Linked DNA regions of Notamacropus eugenii. The protein of the gene in region 2 interacts with the protein of the main gene of each other region in a pairwise test. Links are inferred from orthologs where the notes say so. Each region holds a gene or a part of one and is shown on either strand. Other genes may lie near its edges. The genes, in order: FOXJ2 and EGLN3.

What was found.
Region 1: the proteins of EGLN3 (region 2) and FOXJ2 interact in binary tests that used the Homo sapiens proteins (3 or more experiments, as listed by UniProt). The two-hybrid records come from large-scale screens. The link is inferred for Notamacropus eugenii from reciprocal best matches to the Homo sapiens genes EGLN3 and FOXJ2.

Annotation. Positions count from the first base shown.
Region 1 is NC_092874.1:191,595,312-191,611,640, forward strand, and holds the start of FOXJ2 (forkhead box protein J2), read right to left. Parts: upstream 7,774-16,329; 5' UTR 7,273-7,773; intron 1-7,272.
Region 2 is NC_092878.1:51,258,880-51,275,927, forward strand, and holds the start of EGLN3 (prolyl hydroxylase EGLN3), read right to left. Parts: upstream 8,885-17,048; 5' UTR 8,530-8,884; coding exon 8,173-8,529; intron 1-8,172. UniProt on the Homo sapiens protein: Prolyl hydroxylase that mediates hydroxylation of proline residues in target proteins, such as PKM, TELO2, ATF4 and HIF1A. Target proteins are preferentially recognized via a LXXLAP motif.

The DNA.
Region 1 (16,329 bases), on a different chromosome or scaffold from region 2:
TCAGTGTGCACAGGCACTTTTAAGAGGTATTCCAAGGATCCACCTTTCTAATCCAGCTCCCATGTACACCGAGACTTACTGTACACACCATACATAAACAGAGAGAACATACTACACACCCATAAATAAAAGATACTAGGTACAAAAGCACTCACACACACACACACACACACACACACACATAATCACAGTGTACCATATGTCACACTCACAGAGGTTACAACCATCACAAATTACCCATAAAGCAATCACATATAAAGGTAACAAATCATGAGCACACAGATACCCCACACACCTTCAGCAGTTTCCCCAGAACAAACACACCCACGCACACATACATGCGCACACAAGGAAGAGACCAAGGGAGGCACCTCCCACCACTCCAGCATGATGGCTCCACTGAGCCAGGGAGACACCCAGCTGCGTGTGCACCGGTAACAATCAGACAGGCTGGCTAAAAATAGTCCCTCTGGAGTGATGAGCTGAGCTCCTTTTCTCCCTCTCTATCTTTCTCTCCCAGCCAGGCACGCACCCTGCCTAAAACCCTCATGCAGACTCCTATCACTGCCAGGCCACCCATGCCTGGGATGGTAAACCCTCCTGCCACCCACACAGCCTGGGCACTCTTGAAGGGCAGGGAGGTGGCTCCTGGAGTGTGAAGCCTTGGTGATAGAAAATTAAGAAAGATGGGTGACACCTGTGAAGTGGTATCTGGATGGGGCTGATAGAAATCCCCCAGAGGCATGCCCCTCAAGGTGAGGAGAGCATCCATTCCCCTCAAGATTTGCCACCTAACAGGTTTATGCCTGCTAAATTCTGGCTGGTATAATCTCTTCCCTGTGGCACCCCTGCTGAGAGGCCACGGTCACTCCTGGGGAAAAGCCTAAGCTGGAATGTCTCCAGGGTCACTCTGGGCTGAGCCACATTCATGAATGCAATCTCTCCTCCTGATCCACAAACACATATTCCTACAACAGACTGCTGTTAACAATTCCAATCTACCTTTAAACCTAAGTCACCTATTAAAAAATGACCATTCTTCCCCCGTAACAAATGCCCCCATTTTTCCCCCAGGGCCCAGGAATCCCCAGAACTTCTTGCCCTTTTCCACCAAGGGTGTATCCCACCTGAGCTTTCCATGCATGTATGTACATGCACCCAGTAGTGACATTCACATGAACAAACACACCCATGCTGCAACGCAAAGTGAAAGCCCAGCTCCCCAGAGCTGGAGGAAACACCTTAGTGCCTTAGGGGTCTAAGCAGCCAGGACGGAACTGCAACCCAAGAGACGAATGACAAGCCAAAAAAATATGCCATGTTTATAAATAGCACCAGGAAGAGATTTCTCCTGTATGCTCTGGTCTCTGGACCTGATCTACACCATAGAAATGTACAGGGTGAGTCACCTGTCTTTTCAGACACCAACAGGTCTTCCAACACCTCACCAAACCAAACCGAATTAGAAAGCTGCCACGTCTAGGAGGGAGTGGGCAGCTGTGACAGCCATCACAGACAGAGCCCAAGCCAGGCCTCTGGCCAGCCAAAGCAAAACCCCATACTTGGAGGAGTGGGAGGAGAAGGAGAATGGAGAACTAACTCCCTTCTCAAGAGGTCAGGCTCCCAGCTTTTCCTGACTGGGTGCTACAGGAGGTGAATATTTGCTACCAAAATTTCTGATCTCTGTGGAGGAGTCAAGGAAATGGCACATGGAAAGTCCTAGAGAATCACATTAAAAAACTGTCCTATGCTTGAGCAGGAGCATTAGGGTGAATTCAAAGTGCTGGGGAACTTTTCCTTCAGCATTGCATGTATGTGCACATCATAGCAAGGATAGGGTGATTGTGAGTTGCCCTGGAGGAAGAGGTCCCCCCTGCTCCTGGTTGAGTCAGGCCCTTCCCTAGCCTACAGCAATGACCCTTGGAACCACATCTGGCTACAGCTCAGAGATGTTCCATCCCCATTCTCCTTTAACTCATCCTATTTCCCTTACCACCCCTCCTATTTCTCATAAAAATGATTCCCAAACATATCACCTCAATTCTACTCCCAATACTGCCATCAACTCCCTAAATACACCTAACCAACCCTTCCAATCCAATCACTAAAAAGATACAGACTATAATCCCTACCCATAATTCACCCCTTCTCCCACTGAGATAAGTAATTAAGTCTTATTGTGCTCATATTTGTCATGCTCCCCAAAAAATGGCTTGAGACTAATCATCGGGTTATTATTAGAAGGAAAAAATAGAAGGTGTTTCCATCTTATCATTCTCCACTCTCCTCTCAACCCCCACTACTAGTCTAGCCCTTTCTTTCTTCCAGGGGAGATTCATGCTACTACAGTGCCACAGAACCTAAACAAGGTCACATCATCTTGTCTTTGGTCTGGGAGATCGAAAAGTAATACTTATCCAGAGCTGGTAAAAGGTCATCATGGGAGAGTCATGATACCTACCTCTGACAGAGAAGTGATGGATTCAAGAAGCAAAATGAGACATAGATCTGTTGAACATGCCATTAGAGGAATCAGTTTTGCTTGACTATGCATATTTGTTACAAGGGTTTTGTTTTTCTTTTTTTTTCTCCATATGGGGGAAGTACAGAGAGAAAAATGTATTTTTGTTTCTTGAAACAAACTGATTTTTTTAAAGGGACAGGTTTCTCTATATAAATATGCTTTCTGAGAGTGATAAGAGCAGAGGGTAGTAAAGAAGTGATTTCTCCCTTTCATAAATACTAGATAGATTGCTAAATAAACAAACACTTAGATTGACTCATAATATTTTTACTACTACGGCTTTTCTGCCTGGACCTCTAACTTCAAAGTGTAGGAAGCTCTAAGTACACAAACTTTTTACCAATGCAGATCAATTGGACCAACGGCGGTTTTAAGAGTATTGCCTGAGGCACTGCTAGGTTACGTGACCTACATCAGTCATTCAGCCTGAATGTGAAAGAGACCAGTCTTAAACCCAAGTCTTCCGGACTCCAAGGCGAGCTTTCTCTCTCTCCTTTGTAAAGCTCTTAGCACACAGTAGGTGGTTAATAAATGCTTGTTCCCTTACCCTCAGCCCCCTTCCACCATTCTGGGCCGATTATAAATGTTTTCTCCCCAGTTCTATGATATCACTGAGATAGAGAGTCAGCTCCTCCCGGGGAGGAACTTCTCCCACACACCTGTGCAAATCAGTACCTTCTTTCGAATAACATTCTTGGGTTAAGGGACTTGCCCAGGGTCACTGCCTGAGTCATAGAAAGTTCTTTCTGAGTCATGATCAGTTCTTTACCCTTTTTACCCCTAATACTGCTTTTCAAATAAAATGGCATTTCTAATCACTCACATTTCTGTACCCCTTTATGGTCTGCAATTGGATTCCTGCTTCTACTCCTGTGCATTTATTATCCTGATTTTTCAGAAGAAACAGACTCAGAGGGACTGGAACTTGCCCTCGATCTACTTGCTCTTAAATGCCAGAGCTAGGATTCAGACTCAGGCCTCAACTTCACATCCAAAGCTCTTTACACTACAACCAAGCTGTCTCTCACTTTCATACTTAGATAGGCAGATGTATGTTGTCTGGTCTGCAATCTGGAAGACCTGAGTTCAAATCTGACCTCAGACACTTACTATCTATGTGACTACAGGCTCTCTTTGCCTCAGTTTCCTCAACTATAAAATGGAAATAATAACAGTACCTACCTCCCAAGCTTGTTGTGAGGATCAAATGAGATAATACTTGTAAAAGTACCTAGCAGAGTGCTTGGTAGACAGTAGGTACTATATAAATGCTTATCCTCTCCCTTGTCATAAGAGCATAGACATGGAGTTGGAAGACCATCTAACCTAAGCCGCCACCACCACCCCTAATTTTACAGATGAGAAATTGAGGCCTAGGCAGTTTAAATGATTTGCTTAAGGTCACACAGGCAGTGATCATAAAATGCAGAATTTGAAACCAAGTCCTCTGACTCCAGAATTAGTGATCTTTCCACTGAACCAAGGTAGACACTGAATAGGTCATAAAAGTTCCCAGAGGACAAGATTTTCTTCCACTCAATTTCAAATAACCTCTTTCGGAGACTGGAAATATTTTCTATCAGATCATAGGGCTAACCCATTGACAGCACCAATTTGGAAAGGAAGGATTGATAGATAGATGGAAGGAAGGAAAGAAGAAAGAATAGGAAGGAAGAAAACAGGGACAGAATAAAATATAAAACCTAAAATTTGCTTGGTTCAGCTTTGTTACCAAGTCCTTAGGGTTCATCCTAGTTTTTGGCTGTTGTTTTTTTTCAGAGACAGAATCAGGTCTAGGAGCTTATATAAGTATAAGCTCTGGTGCTCATAGTTGTAGGGACTCATGAACTTGAGCCTAGAGCACATATGTTCAAATCCCAGAATTTCCACTTACTACCTATGTGACCTTAGGCAATGGACTTAACCACTTGAAGTCAGTTTGCTCATTTGTAAAATAAGGGGACTACATTAGATCGATCAATCTTTAAATCCATAGTCCTTTACCAAACTCATCATTCCACCTGACCCCACTTAGGGGTCAGACAGAAAGGTAGCATTTTAGGTTAGGCTGTGATCAAGCTCCCCAATGTAACTGGGGTGCTGGAATAATTTTTATTCCTGACCAGATGGTCAGCTGCTTTGGGAGAAGAGAGAAGCTGTCATAGCAAAACTGGATCTTGCCAGAATGAAAAGTTCTTGGGGTGAAGGCTCAAATATCTCTGGATAACCTCCAAACCTAGAGAATCTTCTATCACTCCCAAAGTTCCAAGGGTGTCGAACCCAACCTGGACTACTCTGATATTTATGATTATTGCTGTATAATCATTCAAGGATGTCAGGCTTCAAAAAGTATTCCCTACCCCCACCTTACTCTGTGTATGTCTATACTTCACCAGGACTCATAAGGGTCCATCCCATGTACAGACTGCACCAGAAACATGATTTTAGGTACCCTGGTATTCTCAGCTTTGCAGTCAATCACACCCAGACATAGATACTCCAAACATAGAAACGTAGAGACATACACTTGAATTATCATTCAGTCATATAATGTACTAACATGCCTCCTCAGGAGTATTTATACTTAAATCTACTCCATAATATCCTATTCCCCTTTGGAGAAGATCCTGCCCCTTGGCCTAGAGGCTCCAATTCATCAGATCTGATCCTGTCTCTCACCAAATATATGCTATGGACTGCTACTTTTGAGTCAGGAAGCAATTTCAGCAGCTTAGGTAGCCCATCCTGGGGTTAGGCTGGAGAAGCAGGAGGAAAAAGTAAGAACCCAAGCATAGTTCCACACCCAGCTATGCTGTGGGATGGGTAGGAATGGATAAAGTAGAGGGCAAAGGCTAGAATAGTTCAGAAAAAGATAAGGTGTCTAACAAGCTTGGAGTCATACAGCTAACTCATTGCCCCTGAGGTTAAAAGGAAAAAAAAAAAGGAGAGAGGTTAACAGATCTCCAGAAGGGATAGTTCTCCTGGAGGCAGTCTAAGGGTTAACAGGAGGGAGTCCCCAGTATCCCACTATTTTGGAGCAGTATCTTCTCTACTGCAACCTTGACTTCCCTCAACACTCTTAAGAAAGGCTTATATACAAGCTGGGGAGCATTCACCCCAGGCCATGAACTAGAAAGAAACTATTCGAGGCTTTTCTGGAATCGAACCATAATCTAAGACATTTCTTAGATGTCATGATCTCCTTGATGGAAAGATTCTTTTGAGAAGACTTACTGCTGACTACACACATCCCTTTCCGGTTAAATCACACTTGCTCTCACCTGAAGTATAATCATAATAGAACTGAAGCCCTACAGCACAGTGGTATAGATCTTTCTGTAGGGAGAGGCTTCAGCTTTGGTCCTCCCAAAGTCGTGCAGTCTACTAAATTCTAGTTCTCCCATACTTCTTTAGGGCTTAATGGAGACCCAGCCCCCTATCAACTTTGTGTCTTTAGGCAAGTCACAAAACCTCTCTTGTCCTGACTCCTCATCTGCAAAATCAGGGAATTGGCCTAGATGGCATCTAAGACCTCAACTCCAAATAGTTTCTATGAGCTATGAGAGCAAAATGACACCATCCATGACCCCATGATAGAGATGCAGAGGAAGAGGGCTTTCTGTGACACTGACCCCACCTTCATGACTACAGAGAGATACACACATATCTTTGGATACATGAATACAGCATCTTGATTGATCCTGGGGTTGCTCATCCCTTGCCCAGGCCAGGGGTAGGTGGGAGTCCCTGCAGGTGCCAAACCTCCTTAACATAGGTAGGGAGGCGCTGGCTGTGACATGATGTAACTCTGACAGGACTCCTAGACAATGGTGTCAAATCTTAAAGCAACTGGCAGCATGAGGTGCAAAGATAAGACTGGGTTTGGAATCTGAAGACTTGAGTTAAAATCCCAACTCCCCTCTAAAACCTGTGAGATCCCAGGCAAATCTCTTCACTCATTGGACCTCTGTTTCCTCATTTGTAAAATGAAGAGGTTGAATAAGATGATGTCTGAGGTCTTCTCTAATTCTACACCCCATGATGATCATTCCATGATTCTGTTACACTAAAGAAAATCTCCAAACACACAAGGGGCTAGAGGGAAAGTTAAAACTTCATGTGACTACAAGCCTTTCAAGCTTGGGGCCACCTACTCTTTGGTCTATGATCTAGACATCAGGAAGCAGACACAGAGTCCTAGGATCTGTCCAAGTGTGCCAGCCCTTGCCCTGTCAGGCCACAGGGCCTAGCACAGAATTTGGCATATGAAAGGCACTTAAGAAGTGCTTGGTGAATGAAAGCCAATTCCAGAGTTGCACTGGCCTGGGAGCAAGGTGGGCTGAGGATGACAAATATAAAGATCAGAAGGTGCTGGCACACTTTTCTGATGCCTCCCATCCCCTTGCTTCTCAGCATGCTCAGCAAGATTTCCTTGGGGAGGAGGAGGAAATCCCACCTCTCCCCAAACTCTAGAGAACCCATTTTCCAGAGTCTTGGCAACAAGATCCATACTCCACAAGCTTCGGAAGTTCCACCTCCCAGGATCCATTTGTCATCTCTAGAAGATCCATTCTCCAAGTATTCATTACTCTGATCCCTCTGCAACTCCCTGGCCCAAAAAGATCCACTTCCTAGATGTCAAAACCAAATTCTGGACCTCCACCCTCTTTTGATCCACTTAGTTCATAAAAGGAGTCAGAGAAGGAAAGGGAGGGAGGAGGGAGAGGTTGACCACAGGCATTACTCACCTGCCTCCGAGGTTCTCCTGGCAAAGGAGGGGAACCACCTGGCACCGGAGTGTGAGGCTGAAGGGGTATTTCTCTTTAGGGGCAGACCGAGGGCCCCATCCTCAGTAGCTCTTCGTGGGCTCTGCCGAGTTCCCCAGGCTGGGGTGGGGAGGTGAGTGCCCCGAGAAGGTGGAGCAGCCGCAGGAGGGGAAGGAGGTCCTACCTGCGGGAGGTGGTAGACCCCCCACGCCTTGGCAGTAATCCTGGGGAGAAGGGGAGGAGCCTCACCCAACCCGGGGTTGTCTCCTCCCCCTTGGGAGAGTCCCCTTCCCCTCAAAACGGAGTCCTTCGGGGGCGAGGGACTTCTGCGGGCTGGAGAAGGAGGGGGAGAGGCGCTGCCCGGTTCCACTTTTTAGGTCCTAGGAAGAAGCCCGCGGACTTGGGGTGGGGATGTCGCTGCCCTTTCCTGAGTACGGGAGGGATCCCTGCGGTGCCCTCGCAGCCCTGGTCCTGGCACTCTTCTCGGCTCTCGCCAAAGGAGCGCGGGCACGAGAGGAGGAGGGCGCCTTTCTCCTTTCCCCCTTTGCCCAGAAAGTCTGGAACTAAGAAGTGAGTGTGTCTACGCAGGAGGTGAGGAAGGAGGGTGCCCCTGCTTCCCGGGGGGGGACGCGCTCCCCCGGGGCACGGCCCGGGCTCTAGGGGTCTCCGGTCCAACAGAGGCCGGCCGAGCGCCCCGGGCGCGGCGTCTCGCCTCCCTCGGCGCTCCGCGGGGGCTGCCCGGCTGGCCCGGCACGGAGGCCGCGGCTGCGGGCTCGGCGCGGGGGAGCAGCGGCGGCAAGCCGGCCGCCTCGTCCCCCGGGGCCCGCGGGGCTGCCCGCGCCGCCACCCCGGACGCCACGCTACCCGGACTCCGCGAGAGTGGGGCAGCTGGCGAACATACGCGCGGTCCCCGGGCTCGGCTCGGGCTCCGGCTGCGCTCCGCTGCAGGCCCCGGCTCCTCCCCGGCCTCCGCGCGGTTCCTCGCCCCCCTCCCCTCGTGTCCCCGCCCCCCGGCCCAGCCCGGCAGTCACGGCCGGCGTCTCCCCGCCCAGGTTAAGGAGGCTTGGGGAGGTGCGCAGGCTCCCACCTCCCGCTGGCCCGGGCGGCCGCCCCGGGCTCTTTCCCTCCGGCTAGATAGTCACCCCCTCCGCCCACCCATCCCGGAGGGACGAGCAGCCCCGGGATGGTCCCAGATGCTCCGTCCACTTCGGGCTGGAGGCGCGGAGCCTAAGTGTCGGAAACCTGGGGGTCCTGTAGCTTGTGACCTTGGGCAGATCGCAGCCTCTAAGCCTCGTCTGTAAAGTGAGAGGCTACCCCCACCAGACCTGTCAGGCTCAAGGGAGTTGGCATCTATACATATGGATGTATGTCTATGTATGTGTGTATATATGTATATATATGCATCCCAAAGTCCCTTGTGGACTGTTAAAATGAAGTCAACAAGCTTTTATTGAGCGCCTGTCCTTTATCTTTTGTTATTATTCGAAGCGCTGGGATACAAATAAAGACAAAAAGTATCCAGACCTCAAGGAGCTCACAGTCTAATGGGGCGGACCTCCATGCAAATAACGGTGTACAAACACGCTGGATACCAGATAAACAGAGTAATCCCAGAAGGAAGCCACTCGCATTAAAAGGGATAAGAAAAACCTTCTTGCAGAAGGTGGGATTCTTCACACCACAGAAAAGCAAGGTACTAAGAACTCTCCTGCAACTCACTTTACAATCCCTTTAACAACTTCACAACTTCCTGACCCTTTACAGGACAAGCTTCAGCTCCCTCTTCAGAACCTGTTTTCCCCCTAGATAATATTAACACCACTGTACAATCTTTTTTCCCCCTTTTTTTTTGGCTTCTCTATTCCTACTCCCCCTTCAACCTTCTTCCCCGTTAGAAAAAGATTAATAAAGCCCTTGTAACAAATATGGATAGTTAAAACAACTGTGTCCAAAAATGTCTCTTATTCTTCCCTCTCAGAAGGTTTCCTCGCATTATTCCTCTGAAGTCATGGTTGGTCATGAAACTGATCAGAGTTCCCAACTCTTTCAAAGTTGTTTTTTTCTTTGTCACGTTGTAACAGTATAAACTGTTCTCAGTTTATTCAGCATCGCTTCATGCAGGTCGCCACTGCACAAGCTTACACTCTCCTTGGACATCTCCTATCTACCCTCTAGCCTGGCTCTCTCTCCTCTCCCTAACGCCTCCTCCAGCAAGGATAATAAAACACTAGCCATGATGTATATGAGTCGATTCAGCCTACATATCGCTTGTTTGAATATATTTGTATGCTGTGTCTCTCATTTGATTGTGAGCCACTTGAGGGTAGGAATTGTGTTACTTTTCTTTGTAAAGCCGGCGCTTAGGGCACAAAGCAGGGGCTTGATCATGTTTTGTTGATTGATTGAAGCCCTAAGAGGCAGATAAGCCATATTGCAAGGTTATAAATTTATCCCTGGCTAATAAAATCCTTTTCTCTCCTCTTCTACTTACCCTCTAAATACCATTGTGGGTCCTTTAAGTCATCTCTGGGGGGACTACCTAAAGTTTGGGGGCAAAGACTGGTCTGGAGATGAGGCAGGAGGATCATGGGGGGCATCACGGGGGCCTACAGGATTGGGAGATTACTTTAATCAGTACTGGGCAAAGCACAACATTGGAAAAGCAGAGACTGTAGAGAAAGTGGCATTCGCCTCGCTTTTGAGATCCAGACACTCCCAACTGTCCCGCTCCACCTTAAGATGGTTCTGTCACTCCCCAGCAACCAGCTCCTCCCTCGTCCCCCCCTCCACCCCTGCAGCTTGGACTCAGGAACCTGTGTATGGGAGGAGAGTCGCAGAAAGAGACGCGCAGAAAGGGGAGATTGACACCAGAGCTGGGGGGCGGGGAATCGAAAAGAGCACCTAGGGCTGGGTGGCCTGAGAAGGGGAGTGAGAGCATAGCACTCAAAGGCTGGCCTCTTTCCTGGAAGCTGGAAACGATCAGGGGGTAGGGAGGTGGGGTACAGGGCACAACTTGGCATGGGGTGGAGGAAGAAGAGGAAAGCTGCGACCCTCGAAGTAAATGCCACGCTGCGACCACCCAGCTTTAACTGGAAGTTCAACCAATTGTAATCTTCCTCAAACCCATTCCAAAAGAAGGGTCAAGCTTCTATTCCCCTCCCCTGGTGCTCTTTGTCTCTCTCTGATGGGTTAGAGTCTGAGTAGGTTTGGCACAAACAAGCTTTTCAATTGGCTAATTTAACAGTCTGTCATGAGGTCGGAGACTAGCAAAGAGAGGTGACTGCATGGGCAGGAAATGGTAAAAAAATTGGCCCCGCCTCCTTAGCCTACTGATTGGTTAACGTTGGAAATGACGTAAGGAAAAGCATAAACAAAACGCAGTAGGGATGAGGCTCCCATTGGTTTCCCACTTCTCGCCGGGTTAGCTGTAGGTTTGGAGGCGGGACGGGGAGAGCCCAATTATTTTACCGAAGAACGGAAGGGAAAGAGAACCCGGAAATAGGAAAAGATGGGCTTATGAGAAGATAGAAAGTGTAATTAATTAGTGGGGCTCAGCAGGGTACCACTCTCACCCAAAGTCAGCGTCTCGTGTGTGCGTTGTTAACCCATTAAAGTCAGCACACTTCCTAGTGACCGGGAATAGAAGCGACACTTGCTTCTGCGTCTCTTCTGTTCCCGACACACCTGTTAACACATGACCTCATGCCTCTTAAAAGGGACAGAAGGAGGGAGGCAGGGAAGGAGAACACACGTCTGTCCCTGGAGATGACGGAAGACTGAGGCATAGCAAAGCTCAAGGACTGGTCCCTGGCTCACGTAGCACCATCCTGCCCAATGTAGGTTTCCAGGTGGTTTTCCCATCCCTTTTACATGTAGGAGATGGAGTGGAAGGAAGGTGGGGAGCTAGCATGTGGCATCAGGAGGTCTACAAAAAAAAAACAACAAATAAGCCAAACCCTTGGATAGGTTTTCAAATCTAAACCTTTCCACCTGTGGCAAAAGTTTACCTGATTGCCTTCCCTGATGTCCTTTTCTTCTTATGTACCTCTCAACAATTTGTTTAATATTTTTCTGGTGCATTTATATAAGAGCACTTCCAACTCTTAAGTCTAGTATTTTATTTCTTAAATTGTAGTTATTGCATTTTGTTGTATTGTAGTATTATATCACTCTACCAAATTAGAAACTACACCATGGCAAGACCTATGTTTTACCTAAACTTGTATTCCCAGTGCCTTGCAGTTTGCCCTGCTCATAACAGATGATAAATGTCAAATTATGTGAATTTCAATTTGGGGTAGCCCAACTTTGTGTGTAATATAAGTAGTGTATTTCTGAGAAGACTTAGCAAATATGGGTGTGGTAGGATAACAGATTGTGCAGATATACACCCCATTGCAGCTTTGCAGACAAATAGATAGCTGTCCTCCCTTTACTAGCAGTCTCAGTCTCTAATAGTTCAACTCAACAGTTTGTTAAGGCAGAATCAAGATGGTGGAGTAAAGACAGGGACTCACCTAAGCTTTTCCAAATTCCCCTCCAAACCACTTTAATGCTTCCAAATGAATTCTGGAGTGACAGAACCGACAAAAGGAAAGAATGAAACAATTATCCAGCCCAAGACAACTTATAAGGTCTACAAAAAAGGTCTGTCTCACTTGGGTGAGAGTTGAGCAAAGTCCAGCAAAGGCAGCAAGCCATTAGCAAACTGGTCCCTGAAAAGCCAGCACACTGAATGAATAGCAATGACTTCCAAGAATTCTTAACCCAGCCATGGTAAGGGGGCTGGACAACTCATCAGAAGGAAATTAAAAGGAACACTTTGCTGCACTAAGTGCACTACACTAAGTGACACTACGCTAAGTGCAGGACTCTGTTCTATTGCCCATATGAAGATCCAGGTTGCAGACCCAGTTTGTAGTTCCAGGTTGAGGATCGGCACTAGCACACTACAGCTCAAAACCACAGGGGAATGGGACACTGATCAGAGTTCCAGGGCACAAAAGAGTGCTTGTGGTCACTCACAGACCAAAGCACAGGCCAAGAGAGCAGTGACCAAATCTCTCCTTAGATCATACCACCTTGAAATAACTGAAAACTTACAGGTCTGCAGAAGCAACTCTAAAATCAGCAGCACAAAAAATGTAAAGGTTGGAACAATGCTCACTCCACCCAAGGAACAGAGTCCTACTTTAACATAGAGTGAAAAGACAAGACATAGGCTGGGAAAATGAGCAAACAACATAAAAAGAACCTGACCATAGAAAATTAGTATGGTGACAGGGAAGATCAATATACAAATTCAGAACAAAAATGTCAAAATGGCTACATACAAAGCTTCAAAGAAAAAGGTGAATTGGTGTCAGTCCCTCCCAAAAAAAGAATTCCTAGAAGAGCTCAAAAAGGATTTTAAAAATAAAAAAATATAGGTAGAGGAAAATTTGGGGAAAGAAATGATACAAAAGAATCATGAAAAAAGTCAACAGCTTGGTAAAGAAAGCAAAATAAAATAGAAAAATATGTACAAAAATTCACTGAAGAAACAACTTAAAAAGTAGAATTGGACAAATGGAAAAGGAGATACAAAAGTTTGCTGAAGAAAATAATTCCTTAAAAATTAAAATTTAATTTAATTTAATTGGGCAAGTGGAAACTAATGATTTCATAAGACATCAAGAAACAAACAAAATCAAAAGAATGAAAAAAATTGAAGAAAATGTGAACTATCTCACTGGAAAAACAACTGACCTGGAAAATAGATGGAGGAGAGATTATTTAAGAATTATTGTACTAACTGAAAGCCATCATAATAAAAAAGAGCCTAGTTATCATCTTCAAATAAAATTATTCAGAAAAACTACTCTAATGTCCTAAAACCAGAGAGTGAAATAGAAATTTAAAGAATCCACTATTCACCTCCTAAAATTGATCCTGAAATGAAAACTCCCAGGAACATTATAGCCAAATTTCAAAGCTGTCAGATCAAAGAGAAAATATTGCAAGCAGCCAGAAAGAAAAAAAAAATCAAATATTGTGAAGCCACAGTCAGAATGACACAGCATTCAGCAGCTTCTACATTAAAGATTGGAAGGCTTAGAATATGATATTCTGATGGGCAAAGGCGCTAGGATTACAATCAAAAATCATCTATGCAGCAAAATTGAGTATAATCCTTCAGGGGGAAAAAATCAATATTTAATGAGAGAGGATTTTTCAAACATTCTTGATGAAAAGACCAGAAATGAACAGAAAATTTTATTTTCAAATGCGAGATTCAAGAGAAGCATAAAAAGGTAGACAGGAAAAAAAAATCATAAAGGATTCAATAAAGTTAAACTGTTTACATTCCTACACAGGAAGATGATACTTGTAACTTTAATACCTTTATCTATTGATTAGGACAGTTTAAAAGAGTATGCAAAGACAGAGGGCATGGGATGTGAATTGACTATGATGGAATGATATGCAAAAAATTTAAGAGGTAAGAAAGAGGGATGCACTGGGAGAAGGAGGAAGGTAGAATGGGTCAATTATCTCACATAAAAAGGGTTCTAAAGAGTTTTTACAATAAAGGGGAAGATGGAGAGGTTGGTCGGCAATTTTTGAACCTTATTCTCATCAGAACTGGCTGAAAGAGGAAATTATATATACACTTGGTTGGGCATAGAAATTTATCTTACCCTACAGGGAAGTAGAGAGAGGGAGAAGAAAAGGGGGTTGGGCAGATATAGAAGGGAGGGCAGATTGGGGGAGGGAGTGGTCAGAAGCAAAACACTTTTGAGGAAGAACAGGGTGAAAGGAGAGAGAGAGATAAACAGGGAAAGAAGGATGGAGGGAAATACACAGTAATCATAACTGCAAATGTGAATGGGATGAACTCACCCATAAAACAAGCAGATTGCAGAGTGGATTATAAAACAATGCAACAATCTGTTTACAAGAAACACACTTGAAACAGGGAAACACAGTAAGGGAGTAGACTAGAGTAGAAGTAGGAAGAGCTGAGGTAGAAATCCTTATCTCAGATGAAACAAAAACAAAAATCTTATTAAAAGAGATAAGCAAGGAAATTATATCCTGCTAAAAGGAGACAATACTAAACATATGCTCCAAATGGTATAGCATCCAAATTCTTAAAGGAAAAGTTAAATGAGTTACAGGAGGAAATAGAAAGCAAAACTATCCTAGTAGGAAACTTCAACTTTCCCCTCTCAGAACTAGATAAATCTAATCACAAAATAAGAAAGAAATTAAGGAGGTAAATAGAATTTTAGAAAATTTAGATATGATAGACGTCTGGGGAAAACTGAATGGGGAAAAAAGAATGAATATATCTTTTCCTCAGTGGTATATGGCACCTAAACAAAAATTGACCATGTATTAGGGCATAAAAACCTCACAACCAAATGCAGAAAAGGTGAGATAGTAAACATGCACCCTTTTAAGATCATAAACCAATAAAAATTACATTCAACGAAAGGCTATGGAAAGATAGATAAAAATTACAATTGGAAACTAATCCTAAAAAATTAAGGGGGTCAAAGAATAAATCATAGAAACAATAAATTCATTAAAAAGAATGACAATGAGACAATATACCAAAATTTATGAGATGGAGCCAAAGCAGTACTTACAGGAAAATTTATATCTCTAAACACTTATATCAATAAAATAGAGAAAAAGCAGATCAATGAAATTGGGCATGCAGGTAAAAAAATAGAAAAGAACAAATTAAAAATCCCCAATTAAATATCAAATAGGAAATCCTGAAAATCAAAGGAGAGATTAACAAAAGTAAAAGTAAGAAAACCTTTGAACTAACAAATAAAACTAGGAACTGGTTTTATGAAGAAAAAAATCAATAAAATAAGTCATAGGTTAAGGTGATTTAAAAAAAAAGAAAACCAAGTTACCAATATCAAAAATGAAAATAGTGAATTCAGCACCAATGAAGAGGAAATTAAAGTAGTTACTAAGAGCTAGTTTGCCTAATTATATGCCAATAAGTCTGACCATCTAAGTGAAGTGGATGAATATTTACAAAAATATAAATTGCTCAGATTAACAAAAAAAGGAAATAGAATATCTAAATAAGTCCATCTTTAAAAAAGAAACTGAACAAACTATTAATGAGCTTCCTGAGAAATAATCCCCAAGACCAGATTGATTCACAAGTGAATTCTACCAAACATTTAAAGAACAATTAATTCCAATACTATATAAACTATTTGGAAAAAAAGGCAAAATAAGATTTTTACCAAATATGGTGCTAATACCTAAACCCGGAAGAGTGAAAATAGAGCACGAAAACTATAGACCAGTTTCCCTAATATTGATACAAAAAAAAATTAAGAAAGTACTAGCAAAGATTTTACAGCAAGATATTACCAAGATAATACACTATGACCAGGTGGGATTTATATCAGGAATGTGGGGCTGGTTCAATATTAGGAAAACTTCAGCATAATCAGCCATATTGTTAACAAAAACAAAAAAAATTCAAATTATCTCAAGAGATGCAGAAAAAACCTTTTGACAAAGTACAACACAGTCTTACTAAAAAAAAAAAAAACACTAGAAAACATAGGAATAAATGGAGCTTTCCAAAATAATAAGTAATATTTATCTAAAAACCATCAGCAAACATTATCTGTAATGGGGAAAAGTTAGAAGCCAATCCAGATTAGGATTGAAATAAGGATGCCCATTATCACCATTATAATTCAATATTGTATTAGAAATGCTAGCTGTAGCAATAAAAGAAGAGGAAAAATTGAAAGAATTAAAATAGTCAATGAGGTATTAAAACTTGCACTCTTTGCAGGTGATAGGACTAGGATACTTGGAGCTAAAGAATCAATTAAAAAACTAGTTGAAAAAATTAACAAATTTGGTAAAGTTACAGAATATAAAATAAACTCATATAAATCATTAGCATTTCTATATATTGCCAACAAAGTCTAACAGCAAGAGATAGAAAGAGAAATTCCATTTAGAATAATTGTAGACAATATAAAAATACTTTAGAGTCTACCTGCC
Region 2 (17,048 bases):
AAAAAAAGTTGGGGAGAAAAGTGTGAGTACACATTTATATGAGATCATACATTTACAAAAATAACAACCAAAAACTCTCAACCATGTAAATAACAAGATAAGACAAGGTAAAAAAAAAAATCCAACAAATTCTATGTATAATTAACCAAGCTAACTAATCTTGCTTGACTAACGCAGATATAAAACATCAACTCTGAATCTATGCCAAATCACTGGCTCTTTGGATCTCCGCCAAAACTGAATTCCTTAGCTGGATATCATAAAAATGACTTGTCTTCAGTATTTACAGTTCCAGTGGCTGTAGACTCAACTCCACACTGGGCACCCTGGCAGTTGCCCAGGGGAACAGATCTGAATTCCCTATTATGCCAGAATATACCACGTGATTAGACTTAGAGAAGAAAAAATGAAATATGTAACAGATCTCATTGTCAGCTAATTGCAAGGCATGCTGCTGTGGAAGAATTCATAAGCCTATTGAAACAAAAGCCACCTTTGCAGACAATTTACCTGTACAAGTTACTTTTTAATCTTCAGTAGCTGAAATCAGAAAGTTAATTGATTTACCTAGAGCCACAAAGGTGAGTCAGAGGCAAAGTTAGTACTGAGCAGCATAGCTAAGTGGCCTCCAAACCAACCCATCACTTCTAAAATACTATTTTTACTACAAGTTTCTAAGATATTACCTCCCTCCCCCAATAAACTTCAGTGGCCCCCTGTTACCACTAGAATGAAATATAAACTCTTTGGCACTTAAATGTCCTCAAATCTTCCTATATTATTCCCTTCCTTTGACTCTGAGATCTATTTATATGTAGATGGAGGCTAAGGAGATACTCTACCTCTCTTCCAAATCACTGCCTATTTACAGGTAATTCCTCCACTCACTCTTACTTTGAACAAATGAAAAAGCATTTGGTTAGTACTTGGATGAAATAGTGAAATAGAACAAGAATTTGGAAAGACTTAGAGATAGTAGAAGGGCCTGGCCTGCTATGGTTTGGGGGGTCAACGAAGTCAGACATGAATGAACAGTAAACAAGAAGCGAGCCAAGCACAGAAGCCAAGTACTAGAGAAACAAAAGCAAAAGGGAAAAAAAAAATCCTTTTTCCTCAAGAGCTATATGGGAAGAAAACACATACATCACTTAAGTGGGAATAGATGTCAAGGACAGAGAGGTCTTTTGGTTGGAAACTTATGGAGATGGTGGCCCATAGAGGAGATTAGCAAACCTTTCTAGGATTGAACATAGTATTGATTTGATTATGGCTCCAGAACTGGAGAGGGGTACAAGTACGAGGTCAATGGTGAGTAGATAGTTGGGTAATAAATGCTTGGGACCAGTCTAGGTGTAGCAGCCAAACGGAGGAGGCAATTCCATAATCAGATGTGGGGCCCCAAAGCAGGAGTTTCTCAAGGAAAAGGGTTCAATCCTCCAGGGCTTGGTATCCCTTGGAAACCCAGACTGCTTTCCAGGCACCTCAAGTTCCACCTTCTAACAACATCAGGGATTCTTGTCTTTTTTTTTTTGTCATGGACCCTTTTGACCATCAGTTAGACCTCTTCTCTCTGAATGTTTTTAAATACACAAAACAAAATACAGAATACAAAGGAAACCAAATATACTGAAATGCACTTCTCAAAGTCCAGGACATCCCAAAAGTTTTAAGGCATGTGCATGTACTCTTCCCCCATTATTAAAAAGTAGGCTTCTTGAATTCAGCAGTGGTCTCATAATTGTTTTCCCAGTAGTCAGTATCAAGCCCTAGCCCACCCCTAACCCCCACCAACTCCCTAGCCCACCCACAGACACCCCCACTTTAAAAGTGTACAATTTAAGATTATCACACAGTACCATTCACCCCAATCCACCATAGGACAGAGACTTGAGTAAACTTTTAAAAGTTAAAAGATTAAAGGGTGCCATGTTGTTGGTATCCTAAATAAAGACTTGTTGACTGACTAAAAGATACTTACGGATTCATATTTATACAAATACCATTCTGTGTCGACAGTGTAAGATATAGTCTTCAACTGAGGAAAATACAGAAGGGTGCGGAGCAGATTTGAAATGGCCACTGCAAATTCTAAAAAATTCTAACTCAGAGTTGAAAAACTTTGCTTCACCAGAAGAAAGGTGAAGAAGATGGGAGGAGTGAAAAATAAGATAAGTTCAATGTATAGGTGATTAGAGGGACCAGATAGCTAAAAGTACCTAGGTAATGAAAGGGTTAAAAGGCTGGCCTTAGAGCCAGAAAGAGTCCTCTCTTAGAGACTTTACTGACTCTGTTTGGCTCTAGCAAGTCACAACCTCTCTGCCTCAGTTTCCTCATCTGCAAAATGAGGGAGTTGGACTCAATAGAATAGCCTTTAAGATCTCTAAATCTATGAGCCCATTTTTAGGATGCATATGAACTAAAGGATGAGAATTTTATTTCAAATATTTCAAACAAAAATGATATTAAAGAAGAGGCATTAGCCATCTGTTTTGACACTGTACCATAAGGGACTTTCCCGAGGGAGTTGTAGCTAAAACCTTCCATTTGTATTGTCTCTTCCATTAGAATATGAACTCCTTTTTAAATCAAGAACTGTCTTATTTTTCTATTTGTGACACTCAACACTGTGCTTAATAAAAAATAAAGTGAATAACAAAAGTTTCATTCACTCAAAATAAATTAATTTATAAATGAATATACATAAATACAATTTTAAAACAGTACTCAAACATTCCAAACAGACTACTCCACCCCAGCTAATTCATTTTCTATATCCTTTTTGACCTATTTGGACAATTTTGGGTTCCTCCCCATTTCTAAGATTTCTCTGAATACAGCTTACTTCCAAAAGGAATGACCTCTTATCAACCTCATGTCCTTCAGCTACTCAAATACCTTGCTTAAAATTTATTTTTTCTCTAAACAAAAGAAGCTTAGTTAAGTCTAGATGGGTAGAACGCAAGATTTCTAAGATCCTTTTTCTAAGCCTACAGGTTTTCTCTTCCTAAAACTTCAGCAGGTCCAGAGGGGAAAGAAGATTAAAGACTATATGAAAAATTAATAAAATTAGATTTCTTTAAGTCTAGGGAAAAGACAAGGGTTGGCAGCTATAAACAAACTGCTGCCGTCTGGTCCAGCTTCACTGAACACAGAATGTAGGGAAATGGGTATAAACTAGGCAAGAGAGTGAAATAAGTAATATACGTGCACTTCTAGCCTAGGAAGGCAATTCACTACTGCAAATGGATAAAGCAAAGAGGATTGTGAAATTGTTTTCTGGAGTGCTTTGCTTCCCTAGAAAATCTGGAAACTTCCAAATTGGGTGTGTTCCAACCAAAAGCCAAGAATTTGTTTTGTTTTGTTTTAAGCTATCAAGATGCTAACCGTGGAAGGTTTATATCTATTAATTAAAAGATCTCAATATTTAACCACAAGATGTAGCCATTAATATCAGAGCATTACCTTATAAAAGTCTTTTATCTATGGCATTTAAGGTAATCTAAGATTATTCATCTAGTACAGTTCAACCCAATTTACAGAAAACAGAGACTTGATCAAGTTCGCATAAGTAAAAAATAATAAAATAACCTCTAGGTTTTCTCTAAAGGAAGTGTTTTTTCAAAATTACTTCTGTCCCAGCTACTCTGTCCATTACAACTGGAACTGAGAGGTCCCAAATATGAAGCCAATCCCATGACTTTTTCAGAGTTCGGATGGATCAAAGCACTTTCTTGAGAAAATTTAATATGAACTGGAAGCCCCACAGATGTATTTGCATAAGAATGTAACACATACTATCTGAAAAAAGTACAAAAGTTTTTAACCAAAACCTTTTTCTTTAAAGCCTCTATATTAATGGCATTTTATGTGTGAACTGGATTGTTTATCCAGGTTAAGAAACAGAGGTTTAGGTGACAAGATGGTCTTATCAACATCGAGGAGAGCTTACATTTACAGATCCAAAGAATGAAAGCAAGCAGCTATCTCCCTTGCCCCTATCCCATTCTATCTATTTCTATTTCTCTATTTCATCTATTTCTCTGTGGCCAGTGAAGAAGTAAGAAGTCAAGGCTAGATAGGAAAAACCATCCATCAGCACAGAAACAAAACCCACAAAAATCTACACCCGGGTTGGTGGGTGGTGGTGTTATTTTTTAATTTTATATAAACTTCTTATCCATTTAATTGTTCTCCAAGAATAATTCAAGGCTAAATGGTGAGGTTTGCCCATGGATTGTTTGGCTGGGTCACACAAGAATCCCTTTGGGGTAGGGAAGCTACTTCCTTGATGTCCTCAAACACATGACGGTCTGAGGCTACTCCAGTTAAGGCTATTTGTGATCAACTCAGTTAATAAGTGGATTTTCTAAAAATAGTAATGGGAAACACTAAAGCCTTTGAGTTTTCCAAGAACTCAGAATCAGCTTCTACAGTCATTTAAGGGAAAGGCTTGGCAATCAGTGAAATGTGAATTAGAATTGGGCTTACGGTTCAAAAATATATATGAAAATACATAACACATATACATAAGAACATATATATGAATGTTTGTATGTATACACACATGTATGTATACGTGTGTGTCTGTGTGTATAAATATATATGTATATGTATATGTATATATCCATTCTTGTGAGTTAGTGACATTTTTACCTGGTGAGTTACTGTAAAAAATCTAACTAGCTGTTGACTATTGCTGAGCAAGAGAACTCCTGGTTCTATAAATTACAATCCCAGTGGAAAATAAATCCCTGTTCCGTAAGATTTATGCAGTCAAGTAAAAGGAGAAAGTAGTGACCAATATTTGTCTTGGAGATTTCCTACATTCCTGAAAAAGGAGGGAGCAGTCTTGTAAACGAATACAGGGAGGGTCTCTAAGCAAGGACCACACTTGAAGTTAGGGGGCGCCATGCTGCTGCACATGGCAAAGAAATTACAACCAAGAGACTTCCCCAAAGACTCCTTAATTAAGAACCTGAAGATATGTTTCCAACAAGTTCAACTGCCAAGGTCAATTCAGCCCAGGTAACTTAATGAAGGGTTCTCTTAAAATCTCAGCAGCCCCTCATTTCTTCAGCAACTGAACTCTGACCAATATTTCTCCTTTTCAGCCTGGCGTTTAGACAAACTTACAATTTGATGGCTTTTGCTCCTTCGCAAGACTCATTAAAAGTAAGAAAAGTATTATTCATATGTTCAAACAAATAAATACATACCTCAGCTTTAAGAACAGTAGGAAACCTAAAATAGATTTAGCAGATTCTGCCTTATGTTTGATTAGGTTTCCATGCCTAGGATAGAGTACTCTCCATACTGGAGATGGAGGGAAATAAGTAAAGGACAGGAAAGGAAGACAAACAGGCAAAGTTAAGAAAATTCCTCGAAAGAAAATGGTTTCCTTTCTACCAAAATTTACTAAATGAGGAACTGGATACCACCTCTGTCTCTCTAATCCAAGAGCGCTAAAGAGGTTTCTTTATATGACCCTATGTCTTCTCTTCTTCTGATAGAGCTTTTTTCACTAGAGATGTGAATATACACACATTCTAATTGGTTCGAGAATATTTTGCCTTACTTTTTCTATTAATCATACATTTGGAGAATGAAGAGCTACATATTAGGACAGCAGATGAGAATCTATATTCTGGACAAAGGTAGGCTGCCTTGTGAGAAACCTCCTAAATTCCACTTGTTAGAATGGACATCAGTATCAAATTTCCTTGCTTCAATTTCAAAAAGCATTCATTCAACAAAAATCTACCAACACTAAGTTGTGAAACATTGAGTGGGGTGGAGTGGGTGAGTGTGAAAGCATGGAGGGAGGGCCCTAGGAGAGGGTGAAAAGACAAATAAGACAAGTATTTGAGGGATCCACCCAGTAAAAACTTTAAAATCCACTTACATTTTGGATGAGTTACATTTAATTAAGTTATTCCGATCGTGGAAGGATATCACACCAATATGGGATAAAACCATCAAATCCTGATGGGACCAAATTTTCTTGCCCTGGATGGGTTTCAGATTCTTTCCATTAAAATTTTACCCTTAAACTTTTAGGGTTGAAAGACAGGCCTTGCAAAAACAGAGTGGTCCAGTGGAAAGGATACTTGATTTGATTCAGGACCTGGGTTGGGTTCCTTTTTTGAGGGAGGTGGGGGGTGGGGGGGATTAGTATACATACACCACCCCCTCCTCCCTTAGCATAGCGCCTGGTACATAGCAGACACAATTAATGCTTGTTGACTTAAATGGTAACTATGAGAACTCAGGCAAGTCACTTTATCCTCTCTGTAAAAGGAAGGACTGAGTAGGGATGATCCACAATCCCCTATAGGTGGGTCAGGCTGCTGCTCATAAAGAAGCTAAAACTTGGAGAGGTTTAAATGGAATGATGGATCTCCTTAGTGATTACTTACTCTTTACTACCTCAAAGCTATTTTTTTCAGTGTCCACAAGAAGCATTTATTTCAAACTTTGTATAATCTTGCTTTGAAAGAACTTTAGGCATCTTGAGTGTCCTTCAAAATTGGACCAGAAAGTCTAGTATCTTAATTAATTAAAATGACTTCCTGAGCGTTTAATAAATGCCTCTTGGCAGACTTCAAGAATTCTGTGAAGGTAATGCAATTTTCCCCAAGTTAAAAGCAGATGTTTAGGGGTTTGGTTTTGTCTTTAAATAATTTGAACTCCTCTTAGAGAAATCTTCTAATTTCCTCCAAATTTTCTATTCCAAACCTCCTCACAACCAAATATTTATAAAGCACAGGACACTTCATTAATTAATTAATACTTGTCTCTTTCTTCCTCCCTCCTTCACTTCTCCGAGGACTCAATTCTACATCTTAGCTATTTGTCCTTTATTTTTTGTCTTAACAGAACTCATCTCAGATCATGGGCCAAGGGATGGCAGTGGTTTGTTTTATCACAGAATCAGTCTTGAACTGTGAAAAATACTTTATTTCCCCCTCAAATAATACATAGATGACTCTTCTGGTACCTGATGGCCAGCTTGCTTTCCTCTGTGCCCCTCAGGTTTTTAAAAGGTACTTATGCTCATCTACCCCTCAGCCTCCCTTAGGATAAAAGAAAATGTAGAGTCACTTGGAGCTGTTACCGGAAACAACCTGGGCTGAACCAATAAACACCTGAAGACAGATTGTCTGCAAGTCCCTCCAAGTCTGTAGACAAATAGCACAGATACTACAGTTAAGGTAACTTTCCCACCTTTGCAGAGATGCTGCCAATATACAACGTAAGCACATCTAAGAAATTACCCTCAAGAAGAGTCTCTTGAGGGATAGGTGAACTGAAACCTCTTTTCCTTCCAAAAGTCCTAGACTACTCTCTCACCAACTATTTACTGCTACAGAAGGGCCTGGCTGAAGGTAGCAAGGAAAGATCTTCACAAGCAACAAATTAGATCAACCCTACCTGGGGCCAAAGGGCCAAACGCACCGACCGAAACAGAGAGAGGGAAAGAGCTTACACCTTGCACAAGCTGCCGTCCACAACTATGGGTCCCCAAAGACAGTGTATTTGGAGACACACCAGAGCAACAGGTATGGGGGGGACTACGGGATGACTAAACAAGAACAAAGCTACACCTATTCCGAAATCTTTAAGACGTGTCCAATGCTAACTTCATCTGTCTAGTCCACTGGTTCTCAGTATCAAATTATCACCAAACTATACAGAAACCAAGGTTGATTAGTTTTTTACCAGCAATGAAAGAAGTTCCTTCAAAGACAGTGCTGCTGATCACAACTTTAGAACAGGAAAAGACCTCAGAGGACATCTAGGAAAAACACCTTCATTTTACACGTTAAGGAAATTGAGGCTCGGAGGAGGGAAAATGACTTGTCCAAGAACGCACAAATGCTAAGTGGCAGAAGCCGGAATTAGGTTCCTAAATCCAACGTTCACTCCACTGTACCACACTATCCGTGGGGCTAATTCATTTAAAATTAAGTGTCCGCTAAAGTAGCCTCGGTCCAAGTCTTTAACCCAAACCACTATTTTTTTTGTATTATTTTTGTTTTAACCCAAACTAGTCTTCTCTGTATAAACATTTTGGGGGAAAGTTTCTTGCCAACGTGAGTGGTGTGCTTAACTTAGCGATCGGTCAGGGCGCCGCTCTTCCCAGTCCCCAATTGAAAGTAACAGCGCCCTTACCTTGGACCTTTCTTTGACATAGTATTTGCCCAGGCGGCTTCCACAGTACAAAACCAGCCGGTCGATCAGGGACAGGAGGAAGCTGATGGCTTCGCAGCCTTCTTCGTTGCCCCCGATCCAGGTTATCTGGTCTCCCCGCAAGTGCCTCTTGGAGATCCCGGAGCGGGGTCCAGCCAGCTGGCCGTCCTGCAGGTCCCCGTTACAGTGCAGCTGCTTCACGCGCTCCAGGACGCAGTCACCTACCACTTCGCCCAGGAAATTGTCCAGGTAGCAGAAGCCGATGTCATGCAGGCAGGGCACGATGTATTCTAGGGCGATCTTCTCCAGATCCAGGTGCATGATGTGTCCCAGGGGCATCGTGACTTCCGAGCGGAGGGGAGCCGAGGGGGCCCCAGCCTGGGTGACTGGAGGAGGCGTGTGAGCGACTTTGGGAGACAGACACCCAGCTTGAGGCCCCCGGGGTGCCAGGGCTCCTGCCCCTCGAGATCGGGGGTGGGGGAGACGGCGCCGCACCGGCAGCTCCGGGGGGCACCCAGCGCACCACTCTTTGAGTGGAGTCCACTTAACAAAAGCACCGTCCGAGCTCCGCAGGAGTTTGCGCGGGGCTCATCGACCCAGGACTGGACTGGCCCAGCGTGGAGACTTAGAGGGAACCCCTTTTTGGAGCGCCAGCCAAAGTGACTGCGGACTAGACAAGGACTCCGGGGCAGAGTATCCGTCCCCGCCCCGCCCCGCCCCTTACCGGGCCACCCAAACTCCGCAGGACGTCACCAGGTCCCGCCCCTAACTGGGCAACACTCACACCCCCGGACATCAGGAGGCCCGCCCCTGGCTGCAAATGCCCAGAGGTCAGCGTGCTAGAGGACACCGCCCCCCTCGCGCCTTTATAAACGGGCGGGACAGATGGGTTCTCTTAGAACTTGCTGGCGTTGTTTTCATTTTCTCTTTTGTTCCTTTATTATTTTCTTTTTTTCAGGTTTAGGAGTAGGGCTGACCGATTGCATGTCTGTACTGTTTGACAGGGGGATGTCAAGTCTGCATGCTACTGATTCGCTCTTTTGTTTGTTTTTCCATAAATTTTCATAAGCTTGAGCAGTTTAATCTGAAAGCTCTTCTACCAAGTTCTCCATCTATATTAAATCCCGGCGTAATGCCTACCAGGATTTCAAAAACCGAATCAAGTAGATGACCCGGTGGACCCAGGGGCTTGACCTGTTCCCAAATCAGCCTTAAATACTTAGTAGCCCTGGGCAAGTCACTTAAACTGTCCTCAACAACTGTCCAGTTGAGGACAATAATAGCACCCACCTGTCAGGGTTTTTATAAGGATCAGATGAGATAATATGTGGAAGGTGCTTTGCAAACCTTAGAGCACCGTACAAATAGGAACTATTATTAAATCATATTTTCTCTTAGAAAACACAGATTCATTAATTCATTGACCAACCAAGATTTCCCAGGCAAGTTACCCAGACAGGGGTGTTGTACTCCGGGTGCAGATGGAAACATATTTTGGGGCATTTGGTTAGGGTTTTTGTTTTACTTGTTACTTTTTGTCTTTCGTTGGTTGGGGGGGGGGGGGATGGAAAAGAGACAAAATAAATGCTAGATAATTTAAAAATAAAATTTTAAAAATAAAGCAAGAAAGGCAAAGAAGAAAGGAAAGACAGAAAGAGAGATAGAAAATGAAAAGAAAACTCTTCCATAATGAGTTAATCAGCAAATATTTATCGACTGCCCATTACTTGCAAGACGTGCTGCGAGGCAGGAGAGTTTGAGCTAGAAAAATGTTTGCCTTGGCATGATATGTGTCAGTGTAATTATGCCCCAGCTCCTGCTTTGTTGTTATTATGGTTGTATCTTAATAGCCAGGTGAACTATACCCTAGGGATGGGCTTAACCAAACAAGTAAAATTTCAGTTATCTATAGATTAAACAGTTCAGTTCAATGGATTGTACATTCTTTTTCCTTCTTTACGTTGCTGACTAGAATTGAAAGGGGGGAAAACACACCTAACTTGCATAATTGTTTTCCAATAATATCTATATAAAATAGGCATCGGTGATGTTTTCTTTCCTATTTGAATCTAACAAGAAAAAATGTTGTCTTGAAAGGTACACTGAGAAGATAGAAGGCTGGACGGTGGAGTCTGTAGGACCTGAGTTAAAATCAGGACTCATATACTTAGGAGCTATATGGCCCAGGGCAAGTCACTTAACCTCTGTCTGTCTCAGTTTATTTATTTGTAAAAAGGAAATAATAATAATGATAGCACCTAACTCTGAGGTGGTTATGATGGAAATACTTGTAAAATGCTCTGCAAACCTTAAAACATTACGTAAATGCCAGCTATTAAGGATACTATGGAGTTGGGAAGACCCGACTTTGAATTGATCCCAGAATATAGAATATAATGTCATTGAATCTCTAGTCCTCAGTTTCCTCATTTGTAAACTGGGGTTGATAAAAATCTATATCACTGTTTTCAGAGTTGTAAGAATCAAATTTTATATTAAAATAAAAATAAAATATTCAAAATATAAAATAAAATTATATTAAAATAAAATATATTAAATTTACATTACATAAATAGCCTAGAGGAGGCATCCAGGGATAGAGAGCTGGCCCATGAGTCAGGAAGATGTGGGTACAAGTCTTGTCTCTGTCATATACCAGCCTCGTGACTTTGAGCAAGTTGCTGAAATTCTTAGTGGTCTAGGCCCTTATGTCATTCTCAAACAAAAGTGCAGCCACTAATCCATACATAAGGATTCCTGCAAGCTGCATATTGAATTAGTTTTAAAGTGTAACATTATCTATGTTTTATTGTAGTGTTACTTACCTTGTTAAATATTTCCCAATTACATTTTAATCTGTTTCTAGCCTACATGGGAGTGTTAGATGTCACCCATGAGTTCACTGAAACAGCTAACGAAGGTTTCCCAGCAAGTCCCTAGTTCCAAACTTTAAAAATATTTCAGAAAGCCTAGACTATGTTGCTCTAATTAAAGAAATAAGCTCCAAGCAAAACTCTGAAGTACAAAGGGGGAGCTAACCTCAAAAGTTCTTCTTTCTCATCAGAAGCATAAGCCAGTCTTTCCAACATGGAATTGTGCAATTTTAAAGCTTTTAAGTTGCCTAGTTATTACTCTGCATGGGAGCTCTGTACTTGTTAACTAACAAGTTGTTTGTAATCTTCCTAGCTTTTCCTGCCCAGCTCTAGTTTATGAGATTAGTTTCATAAATGATTAAAGAGCAAGATAATATACGCCCAAAATGTTGCATCTGAGAGAGAACAAAGAGAAAATGGTGGTACAAAGGTAAGGTATTAACACAAAGGAGGCGTCTTCGAATTCCTTTTACATCCAAGATCAATGTCCAAAGCATACTTCTTCCAAGACAGAGTGCTGGACTTCAGTAACGAAGTTCTGAATCTGAATCTTACCTCCAACATATGCTAGCTATATGACCTTGGACAAATTATTTAATCTCTCAGTGCCCCAGTTTTCCCATTTATTAAATGAGATGGTTGGACTTGGGGATGCCCTTCCTACTCTAAAATCTAAGATATACAATCCTATTCCCTCCACTTCCTGAATTTGGTAGATTACAAAGGAAATCAATCAGTTTTAAGAATTAGCCCTGATTGGCCAAGATTGTTTCTAATAGAAAAGCTCCCAGCCATTAAAAGTTTACAGATTCTGGCCCCTGAGGGAGTCTACTCTCATATCTTCTAACATACTTTGAGTTTGGACTCCTAAAAACGTAGCTCACTAGCACCAACCAGTGTGCTTACTTTAATAATGAATAGATAGACACAATTAGCCCAAAGTAGAGGCATTTACTAAGATGGCAACAGTAACAACATCTGTACAACATACCCTTCACCATAAACCTGTGGTATATACTTCCACCAGTATACAGCAGGAGAAGTGAGCATCATATTAGAGTATGCTAATACTGGGGCATATATGAAGAAATGAAATATGGCCAAAGAAATTCATGCTTCCAGTACAATGCCTCAGATGCTTTCTCTTCTCTTGGTGTCCTCATGCTACCCTCCCTTAGGTGAAATGCCTCTTTTGGGTGAACCACTTCCTAAGTCTCAACTGTCAAACTGCCAGAGATAGTTGTCTCTTGAATCTATACTTGACTCTTCTCTGCTGCCATAAGCCACACTCCCTAAAACTATTTCTTCCATCTCTCTCTCTCTCTCTCTCTTTCTTTCTCTTTCTCTCCCTGCCCCCCTTCTCCTTCTTTAGGGAAAATAGCTCTTTTGACTTATTAAGAGGTAAAGTGCCCCCCACCCTACTGGTGTCCTCTGATAAAGGCACATTCCACAAAACTGCTTCTTAGCCTTAGCTGTATCTTTCCAGCTTCCAGGGCTGGCAGGTTTAGGTTTTTAAAAGTCGTCAGAGGTGTGGCTAATCTCATGCTAGACAGTGGTCAAATGACCTTCCAATTCCATCAGGACAACTTCACATTTTATAAACGGATAGAAGAACATAGACTCATCTCTGTTACTCTCTCCCTTCTGTGATTTATAAGTTGAGCTGGGATTGGAAGGGGAGGTGGGAATCAGTTTTCAAGAACCAACTACTTACCTATTTTTGCCCTCTACAATGGAAGAATTACTGAATAGGGAGCTCCAGGGACCTAGGGCTGCCGAATTAATTGTGTGGAAGTGGGGGTGGGGTAGGGGAGGTGAGATAGTATTGTAATTGTAACTCTTGTTCCGGCAAGAGTTGAGTTAGATGTCTTTTGAGGGCCCCTTCAACTGTGATATTCGGTGGGACTGAGTCCTGTTTTTAACCATTAATTAATGGTGTGATTTAAGTAAGTCATGTGATCTCTCTAAGCCTGGGTTTCCTCATCTTTTAAAACAAAGGGGTGGGACTAGATTGGGAGTTTTTAACCTAGAGTCTGTGGACTTGTGTTTCTTTATATAGATATAAATAACTGCATTTCAATGCACTTGGTTTCCTTTGCAACCCTATGTATTTTATGTATTTATAAGCATTCTTCTAAGAAAGGGTCCCCAGGCACAGACTGTCAGAGGAGTCTATATAGTGATGTGCTGGTACATGTTTAGCAACTATCTGACAATTTTGTATAAGCTGCATTATTAACATTTCCTAATCAACAAAACAATAAATTGAGCCCTAACTTTTAGTCATTGCTGATTTTTGAAGTATAAATGCTCACACTAAAAGTTTCACAGTGGTGGTTGGTCTGTTGGCTCTAACACATCCTGGGGTGTGTTTAGGTAACAGAAAAGGTCAAGAACCCTTGAATTAGATGATTTCTAAATAGATTCACTGAAAACAAAACTTAAGGAAGAATATAAATAGGGCCAGAGAATTGGTTGGTTGTCGTCCTTTAACTCAAGAAGGACCAGAATGACATATTGAAGTCAAGGTACAGTGTGTCCACCTGTGACTGATCAGGTCAATATGACCTCAGAAGTCTATACCACAGGTTGGACAAAAATAGTTCATGTGAACATTTGGAATAGAGGTGTCTTGAAATTTGCTCATCTCACGTTTCTTCTGAGCTGCTCCAATTTTGCTTTTCTCCTAGAGTACAGCATCATCTTTGATTCGGGCACTCCATGCTGGGCAGCACTTTGCCAGTGTCTCCCATGTCACACAATTGATTCCAAAGTTTGCCAGAGAGCAAGATACCTAGAAAACACACTTCCTGCCTAGAATAGTGACTTGATACTGCCATAAAAAGATCAGTGAGGACTAGGAAATCTATTACTAAAAGCAAGCACTCTGACACATTCAGGATAGCCTGTTGTACAGGTTCATAGATCTGCTTTTATAAAAGGAAAGTAACTTTTGAGGGGTCAACAATCACTTTAATCAAACACATGTATCATTCACTTAGTTCAGGGGGAAAAGTCAACACCCTGAACTTCAGAGAAAATACAGAGAAATCAAAATCAACAGACAGGGCTTCCAACTGTCTGAAAGTAAGCAATACATACATCACAGATCAACAGACCGATAACTGTGTGGCTATACATAGTTACCAGAGAGAAGCACCAATATCTGGGTTTTCGAAGCTGGGGCTGCTGCCAAAGGCTTCCTAGAGTCTCATCTGACAAACAAACCTTCTTCCAAAAACTAAGCCCCAAAGTAAAACCTCACCTCAGAGTATTTTTACACTTTTCAGGGCCAGAGGGTATCACAACCTTTGAGAACTAGTGTATTGGAAATTAACAAAAGGTATAGGCCTCCCCTAATCAAGCTTCCCTTAATGTGCAGGCCCATTGATGTATGGGGAAGATCTTTAATCTCATTAGCAATACCGTATGTATATGGATATGTGTATATATGTATACATGTATGTTTATGTGTGTGCATGTGTTTATATATATACATATATACATACATATATACATAAAATCTTCCCCTATTTGAATGTAAGCTTCTTGAGGGAAAGACCTGTCTTGATCTTTCTATTTATACCCCCAGCTCACAGTACAATGCCTGGGACAAAATCAGTGCATAGTTAATGCTTTTTCATTCTTTTTTCATTCATTCATTCATTCATTCCCCTTCCCTCAGATAAGAACTTTGTTTTTATTTTTAAACCACTAAGGGCCTAATTACTGTACTTTATAAGACCAAAGATTTAGAGCTGGAATGGACCTCTAAGAACATCTAATCTATCCTGTTTAACTTACAGATGAGAAAAGTGAGGCCCGGAGAGATAATTCTCAAAGTGACACAAGTAATAGGAGACAGAGACAGAATTTGAACTCAGGTCCTCTGACTCCAGGGACAGCATTTGGAAGATTTTATATTTCTCTAGAAGATTGTATATCTGTCTATTAACAGTGAAATCATTCAGGTAACAAGAATTAATTAAATATTCTCTTCTAAAAACCAGGAGTACAAGTCCAACCAAAGTCCCTGCCCTCAAGGAACTGCCATTCTAATGGAGATGATTATGCATGAAAAAGAAACTGAAAGGGGTAGGAGAAGATACCTACTGCAGAACTGGGATTGGAAAGTACACAAGAATGAAGTCTGATGCAAAATGAAGAGATGGCTGGCTTGGGTACCCTCCTTAAATGGAAGTTTTGGCAGCTTTTTTGTCTCTGATCACTTTGCAAGAGCAGAGAGGATTTACAAGGTGTGAGTTTGTGAGTTTTGAAGCCAAAATAACTTTCCAGAATAAAGAGCTTTGGGGGGCAGACATAAATGCATGGACACAACAGACACCACCATTAATATCAGAAAACTGTGTTAGATGCACCCCCCCCAAATGATTTGTCTGTGGTTCTTCAAGACATTTAAGATTATTCATTCAATACCATTCACCCCAGTTCACAGGACAAAAGGAGAGACTTGGGCAAGCTTATCCAAATTAAATCTGAGGTCCCTTCCAGTGTTGATATTCTATGATTCTAAACCAAGTCTGAGATGCCAGTACTTCATTTGGCAGAGGAGACAAGGGATGCCACGGCTGGCAAAAAATCAGTCTGTTTACAACAAAGCTCAGACAGGCTGGAGCCTGGTACTTGTTCTGAGTGGTTCCAACGGTCACAGCAATGGAGCTACTAACTTTTAGAATACATTCGTTTTAGTTATTAACTTGTTCATTTTAGTTATTGTAATAATATCATAAGAACAGCTCCCATTTGTAAAATATTTTAAGGTTACAAAATGCTTCCTTCACAACAACGATGAAAAGTAGAGAGTAGGAGTACCACTAGGCCTCTCTTATAGATGAGGGACAAAGTTAAGTGAATTGCCAAGTGTCACATGGGAATTTGGACCCAAGTCTCCTGACCCGACTTTCCCAGATTAATAACAAGTGACAGAATTATGTCTTTGAACATGTAATACTTTTCCCATATGTAAATAACTAACAAAAAGAGTGATGCCCAATTCTTTCCCCATATATTCTTTCATGCAGGAATGATAAAATTCGAGCATATTGATTACCCTCAAACCTAGTTTTAGCCCATCTGCCTAGACAATTTTACTGGGATGTGGCCATTGTGCATGATACAGCTTCTTGAAGCCACAGGTGAGAGTGGGGTGAAAGATGGACACCAAAGGTGGATGAACAGTCCTGAAAAGGGCTCACACCAGAAGCACTAGCTCTCCCTGAACACCTCATACACCTCCGAGCTAGTAGGAAACCACTGGAGATTTTTGATCAGGGGACATGTGTATTAGAAATATCACTCTGGAAGCTGTGTGGAGGATGGTTTATAGAAGGGAAAGAGCTGAAGGCGGCTATTGCATTAATAGGAGAAAAATTTCTGAACTACAGTGTTGATCATATGAACAGAAAGAAGGGGAATAGATACTGAAGATGTTGTAGGAGGACAATCAGCAAGGTTTGGTGACTCATTGGATGTGGGAGTATACTTAACAAACACTGACCATGAATAAATCACTTTACTAAACCTCAGCTTCCTTGTTTGTAAAATGGGGATACTAACATTTGTGCTACCTAACTCATGAAATTGTGGGAGAAAGCACATTATAAACCGCAAAGTATTGCGTAAATGACTCATCATTCTTAGTTCTTTTGACTTAATTTTGTCACAGAGATAACTGAGATAGTTGGTTTCTTCCATACTATTTAATTTTTTGAAGGAGATAAGCATATATTAAATTTAAGAATAGTAACAAAATCGACCACTTGTGCCTCCTTCTGAATTTTTTTTTTTTTGGCTCTCTTATTTATATTTAAATTTTCTTAATTTTTGCTCTTTCTTTCTTTTTTGGCATCTTTCAAAGAGAATGCCAGTGACTCAGAGTGCTAAGTATGCTTGCCAAAACCAAGTGCCATAAAACTTATTTCCCTTTTCTGTACAAATACATTGATCTTTTTGATAAAACCAAAC